Linked DNA regions of Caenorhabditis elegans. The protein of the gene in region 2 purifies or fractionates together with the protein of the main gene of each other region. This does not show direct contact. Each region holds a gene or a part of one and is shown on either strand. Other genes may lie near its edges.

What was found.
Region 1: the proteins of gpa-12 (region 2) and rhgf-1 purify together in Caenorhabditis elegans (affinity purification with western blotting, with the first as the bait; one study listed by BioGRID). This does not show direct contact.

The regions. Positions count from the first base shown.
Region 1 is NC_003284.9:10,710,106-10,714,034, forward strand, and holds the start of rhgf-1 (Guanine nucleotide exchange factor), read right to left. Parts: upstream 1,765-3,929; 5' UTR 1,754-1,764; coding exon 1,630-1,753; intron 1,311-1,629; exon of another isoform or gene 1,184-1,310; intron 1-1,183.
Region 2 is NC_003284.9:9,244,828-9,248,756, reverse strand, and holds the start of gpa-12 (Guanine nucleotide-binding protein alpha-12 subunit), read right to left. Parts: upstream 1,751-3,929; 5' UTR 1,741-1,750; coding exon 1,654-1,740; intron 1,608-1,653; coding exon 1,479-1,607; intron 1,430-1,478; coding exon 1,329-1,429; intron 1,059-1,328; coding exon 929-1,058; intron 886-928; coding exon 740-885; intron 684-739; coding exon 578-683; intron 529-577; coding exon 337-528; intron 17-336; coding exon 1-16. UniProt on the Caenorhabditis elegans protein: Guanine nucleotide-binding proteins (G proteins) are involved as modulators or transducers in various transmembrane signaling systems.

The DNA.
Region 1 (3,929 bases), 1.5 Mb from region 2:
TTATAGTCACATGAAACCTTAGTTCGCGCAAAAGGGACTTGTGTGAATTTTGAATTGTTTTTCAGAATGTTCTTTTGGAAGTCAGAGCTATAAAAAGTTGAAGAGTGTTCGATCAGATTTGAGGTGTTTGAAAAAAGATAAGACCCATGTTTTGAAAAGCATATTCAAACTTTAGTTTAACAAAAACCACCAAAAATCAAAATGAACTTCAACTGCTAGGTTTTGTGTATTATTATGGAATAAAACTTTAATTTGTAATTTATGATCCTGATGTCTAAGCAGAAGTGCAAGTGGGACCATAGTTTTTGGCGGCAATTCATTTTTTTTTCAAAAATAAATAATGTTAGCAAATGTGCAAAAAGGAAATTTCTCAAACTGGATTCAGCGCAGAATTCAAAAAAGTTTTATCTGAAAGTATGCCGGTAACACGACAACAAGCAGATTCTCTGAAGCCAATGTTCAAATAACATGTAGTAAGGTTTTGCGCGTATTCGAAGGTTAATTTTTTAAGTGTGGCGCAAGAACGACAACAAGCAAAAATTCAATGAAACATAAACTACAAGACTGAATAGTTGATCACTTTCATGAACTGGAAATTAGTTATTACTATTTTCAACAACTTTTCATAGAATGTATGGAGAATGCGAAGAATATTACCAAAAGCTCGTGGTTTTCTTCAGATTTTTTAATAATTTAATAATTAAATTTTTCAAACTGCAAATGTTGACATCCCCTGCCGACTTCAGATCAAAGTTTCTTGTAAAATTAATGTGTTAAACGTAACGATAGGACAAGATTTAAACAACAACTGTGAATATATTCTTCAATGGGAAGTTTGCGGATTTTTTTTCAATTGGCACTCAAGTTGCATTTAATCCACTTCAAGGCTAACGATTTTAATCTTGTTTTGTAAGAAAATCATTCTGTCAATCCCATCTCTCTTAAAGTATTCAGAAAAGTTTTTAAATATCACTCAGTTTTCTATTCAAATGAATCAGCAATCAACAAAGAAGTTGACTAAACAATTTCCACAACAGATTTGATCCTCTTCCTCCGTTTCATCTTTTTCTTTATTCTCAGAAAACCCAGTAAACTGATGCTCTGTTGCTATTGCAAAAGGCACCCCGCCAAAATTGTCACAACAACGCCTATTGAGAACACAAGAGCAACACGACTCTTGGGAATATAACAGGAGAAGGGGATAACTTTCTGCCAAATTTAACATGGGATGAGTGGGAAAAGGGAAGAAGACATATACACACAATATATCCCGTTGAGATTTCAATCTTGAATGCTGTTGAAGAGGTTGAAAAGAGCAAGTGAGCTAGATAGGCTACAACGAAACACTGCTTTTAAGCAAAATAATTTTTGATGGAACTACAAAGTTATGCACTTTGAACACTAAAATCAACGTTTTCAGTGTTTAAGAAAAGAACTTACCTTTGTGTGTATTCTAACGAATACTTTGTTTTCTTGCGTTCCGAATAAAACGAAAAACAAAACTCATAGGTCTAAAATTATGGAACGAATTGAAACCAACAGTATTTCGAGTTATGATGAAGTTTAAAGTTCAACCCTTTTACCCAATTCGAAGGACAAGGTAATTGTAAAAGTGCAAAAATGGCTCACCGGTTGATGGGGATAATGGCTGCGATAAGGGTACAGTCCTTGTGACAGCCACATCGTCGACGAGGTATACTTTGTGCCGATCAAGTTTGAGTGGTGTATTGGTTACAAACTCGTACGATCGCATATACAGTTTCTGTAAAAAGTATCAATAATGGCAAACTGAGAAGAACTATAAATGCCAACGGAATCACGGAGACACAGAATGTGAGTGAATGGACGAATAAATTCTCTCCTCCTTAAGAAATCGAGCCCACACACGCAGCAAGTGTGCGGAAGAAGAGAGGAAGAGTGCTTGGTGCGCTGATTGCGGAACGAATGTTTATATATGACAAAGTGACGCTGTCAATAGACAGAACCAAAAACTATTGCTGAAGGAGGGGGGGGGGGGACGAAAAGCTTCAAGAAGGCATGGATTTTTGTTGGTGTATTCTGGTTTAGTCTCAAAACAAACTTATATGTGGAGTTAGAAGTGACAAAACGCTAAAAATTCCACGGCAAATCGTTGAGCAAAATATGCGAAGATGAAAGTTGAAAAATTGTTCCAACACGCTCACAGAGGACAAAAAGTTAACCTGCTCGTCGAGTGGGAGTGGAAATCAAATGAACGAACTCAGAATACATTGTTCTTCTTCGTCTGGTCATTCAAAGAATAATAAAAAGGTATGAACATGAATTTTCAAAACCATCGGTATACATATAAAATGAAACCTAGCAAAATGGTTAGTAATAAAATGCCAGGATTTTATGACAGTTACTTTGAAGTCAAACGTGCATCAAAATCAAAACTATCACACTGAATTAAATAACAACTAGCCAATCTTGAAATTAAAAATTGGAAAATCTTCATTAACTGAATAACTGACTAACTTCATAACTGAATGTCTTGGATAGTTTCCATGAAACTTCAAATAATTCGAAAACAAGTGATTAATTTTAAAAAAACGCGGGTGGTCTTCAAGGTGGGCTCGCGAAATTCCCACCATTACTTTGCTGACGTCATTCTATTAATCACACAGGAATTTCTTCTAAAAAAACTAAATATTCCTAAAACATCAGCTTCTGTCAAGATAAACTGAAAAATAACATGTTCACTGAAGAATTTTCAAAAGAGAAACATGAAAGGCGAAAAAGGAAACAAAATTCACATGTTCTCAATGTTTGGAGATGTTTTTTTTAGAGCGGCGAATATAAAACTGCAGTTGTAAAGAAAAAATGGCAAGTTCATGAAAGGCTGGCTAACTTTAAAATATGACCAATGAATTTCAAATAATAAATATATTTCAAACAGATTCGAAAACTGGATATTACAAAATTGATATAATTTCTAAGAAGCATTTTCAAGATATGCAACATTTCAAAAGTTATCCAGTGTTTGAAGAGAGGCCCGTATAAATAAATAATTAAAATTCTTCTTGATTCCAAGAAAAAAGCAACAAAAAAATTTACTGGCAGTGAAGTCCTACTGCTCACCACCGGCACCATCCTGGGAAAGTGTCTCTCAAGAATCGTTCAAGATACATCAGATGGAAAGAAAACATTAAAGAGGTTGTACGATGAGAAGCAGAAAGTTCACACGCCTAAAATTGCCGTTGGGAATAACGATGGTGGTAGGTCCTCCCGGACAAGTGAAGAAAAAGGAAGGGAGCAAAAAGCAAATCTACTTGTTAGAAAACTGATTTCTCAACGCACTCCGGCTAAACTGTGCCGGCGGCGGCATTCTTAATAGATTGCCAAGATGCATATCTCAATACGTATCGCCATTTGACGTTTTGGGGACAAGAGCATGAGGCTTATCCTCGGCATCCTCATGAACTGGACGATGCCGTTGGTGTCTGTGCTCACCGCTACGTCTCGGGTTTCAGATTCAGATATCGAATACACGCTTTTACACACTCTTCGAATTTTGAATATATCTTTATGGAGAACGAAGATGATGAGTAAATACTTTTGGCATTTGCCTCCGTCCCACCACATCGATCTTTCGATGCAGTTTTCTTCAGTTTTGGTTTCAGATTACTCACAGATTTGGCAACAATAAACAACATTTGTTTCGGCTTGAACAGTTGCTTAGTTCAAGGCTGAACATTGAAAAATGTGAAAACTTTGAGCATCATGTGCCTTCTTCTTGTTTTATATCACATTTGGTTTAAACAAAATAAAGCATGACAGCATGTTTAACGTATAACATAAACATGAGAACGGTGCAGTAAATCCGAATGTGTTTCACAATGCGTTGTAATAGAAACTATCATGAAACAATTTTCAAAATGTCTTTACCAAACTTTCAATATTGGTTCAAC
Region 2 (3,929 bases):
ATTGAACATCTCGGACCTGGAAAAGAACAAGTTTTTAAATAACAACTTTTTTGCTCTAAGAAAAAAAAACTTTTAACGTTAATTATTGAAATTTTTCGAGATTTGAAAAGGTCGTGAGTAAAACACAACATTTCCAACTGTACCCTCACAGTTCCAGTGAAAGAATGAATAAAGAAAAAAAGATTTCCGTAATACGTGAATTCCAATGCCCGAAACATGTCGGCTGTGTAATACTCCCCTAATTTTTACCAAATATGATTTTCCTTTTAATATAGCTTGATACAAGATACATTTTTCTATTGTCAAACACGTTTTTTCTCAATAATATAGACTCACTAAAGTGTGATCCCCTGTGAAATCCGTGAAATACTGTCTGATATCGGATTTGGGAACTTTCTCTTGCAATAAATCATTTTTGTTCATGAACAAGATGATGGAGACATTAGAGAACGCTCTGTTGTTGACAATCGTCTCAAAAACAGACCGTGATTCGACAACTCGATTCGTCCGTCTGTCTTCGAGAATCACCTGAAAAATGTATAGTAAACACCAGAACAAGTGTGTCTTGATCTCTAACCTGATCGTATTCGTTACTGGCGACCATGAACAAAATACTTGTGATGTCTGTAAAACATTGAAACCATTTTTGACGTTGCGATCTTTGTCCGCCAACATCAATGAACCTGAAACAATATAATTCACAAACTAAGTCCGTGACCATTGAGGAAAAAAGTCAAACCTAAATGGAATCTTGTTGATCTCGAAAATGTGTTCAGAAATGCCACGTGTCGCTTTTCGGCAGAAAAGGATATCACGGTTTGTTGGGTAAAAATCAGGCATTGCGATTCGTGGAATATGCTCAAAGAAGTACTGACAGGAGTCACTCTGAAAACAGAACATATATAATTTAAAAAAATCAAAAACTTACAATTTGGAATAAGTTTCTTTGCTCATATGTTTTTCTAATCGCAGCGTCGTTCCAGAAATCACTGATGATTGGGGCTACTTCAACAAACGTGGTGAAATCAATTCCTTTTAATAAATCGCCGACAGAAAATCTATAATATTAATGTATTTAAGTGCAATAAGAAAAAAAGTTAATTTTTTGAATGATTTCTAAAAAGTGTGGAATTTTGATTAGAACGAATAATCTAATTTCGTTTTCATTGTTAAAAATTTTTCATCCAGTTCTTTGTTATTTTTAAACGATACCAAAAATTCTTCTTAAAACTATAACAGTTGAATGTTTGATTCACGCATTTCTTGATCTCTAGGAAAAATGTAGAATTTTGGATTGTATTCAGACTTTAGATATAAATTCTACTTACCTCATAACTTTTTCAACTTCCACTTGTCTTTTTGGATCTTCCCATGCAATTCCTAATTTGTTCCTAGCATCTAACAACACCCGCATTGCACTTATCGCGTTCTGTGAATAATTTTCTTTGAATTTTTTAAACCACGTAAAAGGATGAAACCTGATATATCTGCTGTCTGTAAGCTCGAACTTCGTCTGCTGTAAATTCTCCGGCCCCGTGAATTATGTGCATCTGTTTTACAAACGTGGACTTTCCAGATTCACCGGATCCGAGAAGCAATAAATTAATCTGAAAATTGTCGATTATTTTGCACTAGAAAATAATTTAATTATACTTGTCGCCGCATAATTTTTCTCTCTTTGTGTAATTCTTTTTCAATCGTTTTGGTCCTTTCATCTTTTTTCCCGAAACAGCATACCATGTTGAACAACCTGAAAAATGGTTAAATGTTTACGTTTCTCAAAAAAATGTCGCCGATTTTCATGGAAGACAGGCGTCAATTGTTGTCAAGGTCGCACTTAAATATGAGAACGTGAAGGGGTCTAATATCTGTCGACAAGGAGAAAACGTTAACGCAATACAATTGTTATAGATGATATCAGAAAAGGATAAGGTTATAAAAAGTACACCTAAAAACGGCTACAAAACTAGAAGCCGTAGCGATGACCTTGAACTTTTGTTTTAATCAAAGTGACCAGACAATACATAGAACTTGACAAGTGTTTACAAGCTAAAGGGAAAAATCAAGCGAAATACGAAAATGCAAATTGCAAACAGTAGACACGGGAGAGGAGGTCGCGAGTACAATGCAAGGGGGCAACGGCATTGCTTCACAGTCAAGACATGTTTTAGCACGGAAACAAATGATGACTCATCTACTTGTCACTGAAAATGCAAAAGTAATGAGAATTGACATATAAAAAACATCGATTTCATCTCTGAAATATAAGCTTCAATTTCAATTTTAAAAAATTTAAGAAAAATGTTTAAACAAGTTTGTAGAATGCCGTTAGTTCAGGAGAAAATCTTGCAAATGCTCGATTAAAAATAGAACTACAAAAATATTTGCTTGCGTTTTCACAAATACCGAAAATTGTGTTCAAAAAATGTGAGGAAATAACCTATAAAATATTCTTAGTTCTGCAAATTATGCAATAGCAATTAGTAGTTTTGTAAAAGTAGGTATAAAAAATTAAATGTGTTTTTTGAAAAATTAGAAAGTGATTGCTTAGAACTTATAACATACTATTTAGTGCCACCACGTTTTTTGAATTTCGGATTAAATTAGAAACTTGAGAATTATTTTTTTAATAAACAGTCTTTGGTAAAAACGTTCTAAGTTCGATCAACTCGGATATCACGTTCAATTCAAGTTAAGGAAAAACCAGTATGTTTTATTCATTTTTGAGGTGTTATTATGGGTTATAATAAACTTAATAATAGAAGCATAACTACTTGTATTCAACGTATTTTTTAAAATTTTATTTAAAACTTAATATTTCATTTATATAGGATAAAAATACAACTGTTTCATTTGGAACACTTCAGACATACAGAAAAACAAAAACCAGAAAAGACAAATGATTCAAATCGTCACCTTATTTCTCCGCGCAACCTTTGTCAACAAAAAATCACCCACGTAATCGCAGTCTCATTCAAAAAAGTTCGGAGAGCACTGTCAATTGCTCAAAACGAATAAAAACCTTCGAGAGGGTATATTTGATTGAAAATTTTGCAAAAAAAACCTGTGCAAAACCAGCTTTTTGTCTTCTATATGTGGGGTTTGGAAAGGGAAACAGCGATTATAATCGGTGGAATCGGCAGAATTACACTACCTTTCTGAAGTTTCCTCATAGTTCAAAAAATAATGAGTCATGAAAAATATCAAAAGTAAAGTAAACCTCTCAAAATTTCAAAAGAACAAGAAACAAAAGAAAATATGCTTGACGAAAAGCAGTTCAACTAGTGGAAAGGGCGAGAATTTGTTGCGCAAATCAAATACGATTGTCAAGATTTTTCACTGTGTTCACATTATTTTTCTTTCTGTTTGTCACTAATAAATGGATTTAAAAGATGATCTGATAACAAAATTTTGGATTTGTACGTCTGAAGATCAATAAATTGGAAGAAGACAAAGAAGAAACAATGATACCAAATTTTGCAAGAACTGAGAAGAAGAGGTGGATGAGAAATAGAGTACATTAATCGCGATGTTGAGAAAGTGAACAGTTTCCGCCATACAATATGAAATATTCAGGGTTGAAAGTTTGTTGTTTCTAATTTTTATGTCATCATCAATTAACTGCTCTTGATGAATGGTAAGATAGTTAAGTTTTTCATAGGCGATCTTTACTTGAAAAAAAAGTTGTCAAATTGGTGTCATGATATATTCCAAACAAACACATGTAAGTCTCTATTCACTAATCTCAATTTCAGTTGATAATTGTACATTTTACATGTCAATTGATTATTATGTTTTGCTTATTACTTTATTTGTATTGATTTCTCTTACGATTATGTGTATATGTATGTTGTATTGGTATTTTATTTCTCACACGATTAACTAATCGTATCAAAATAAATAAATAAATAAGTAATTTTCTGTTTTTT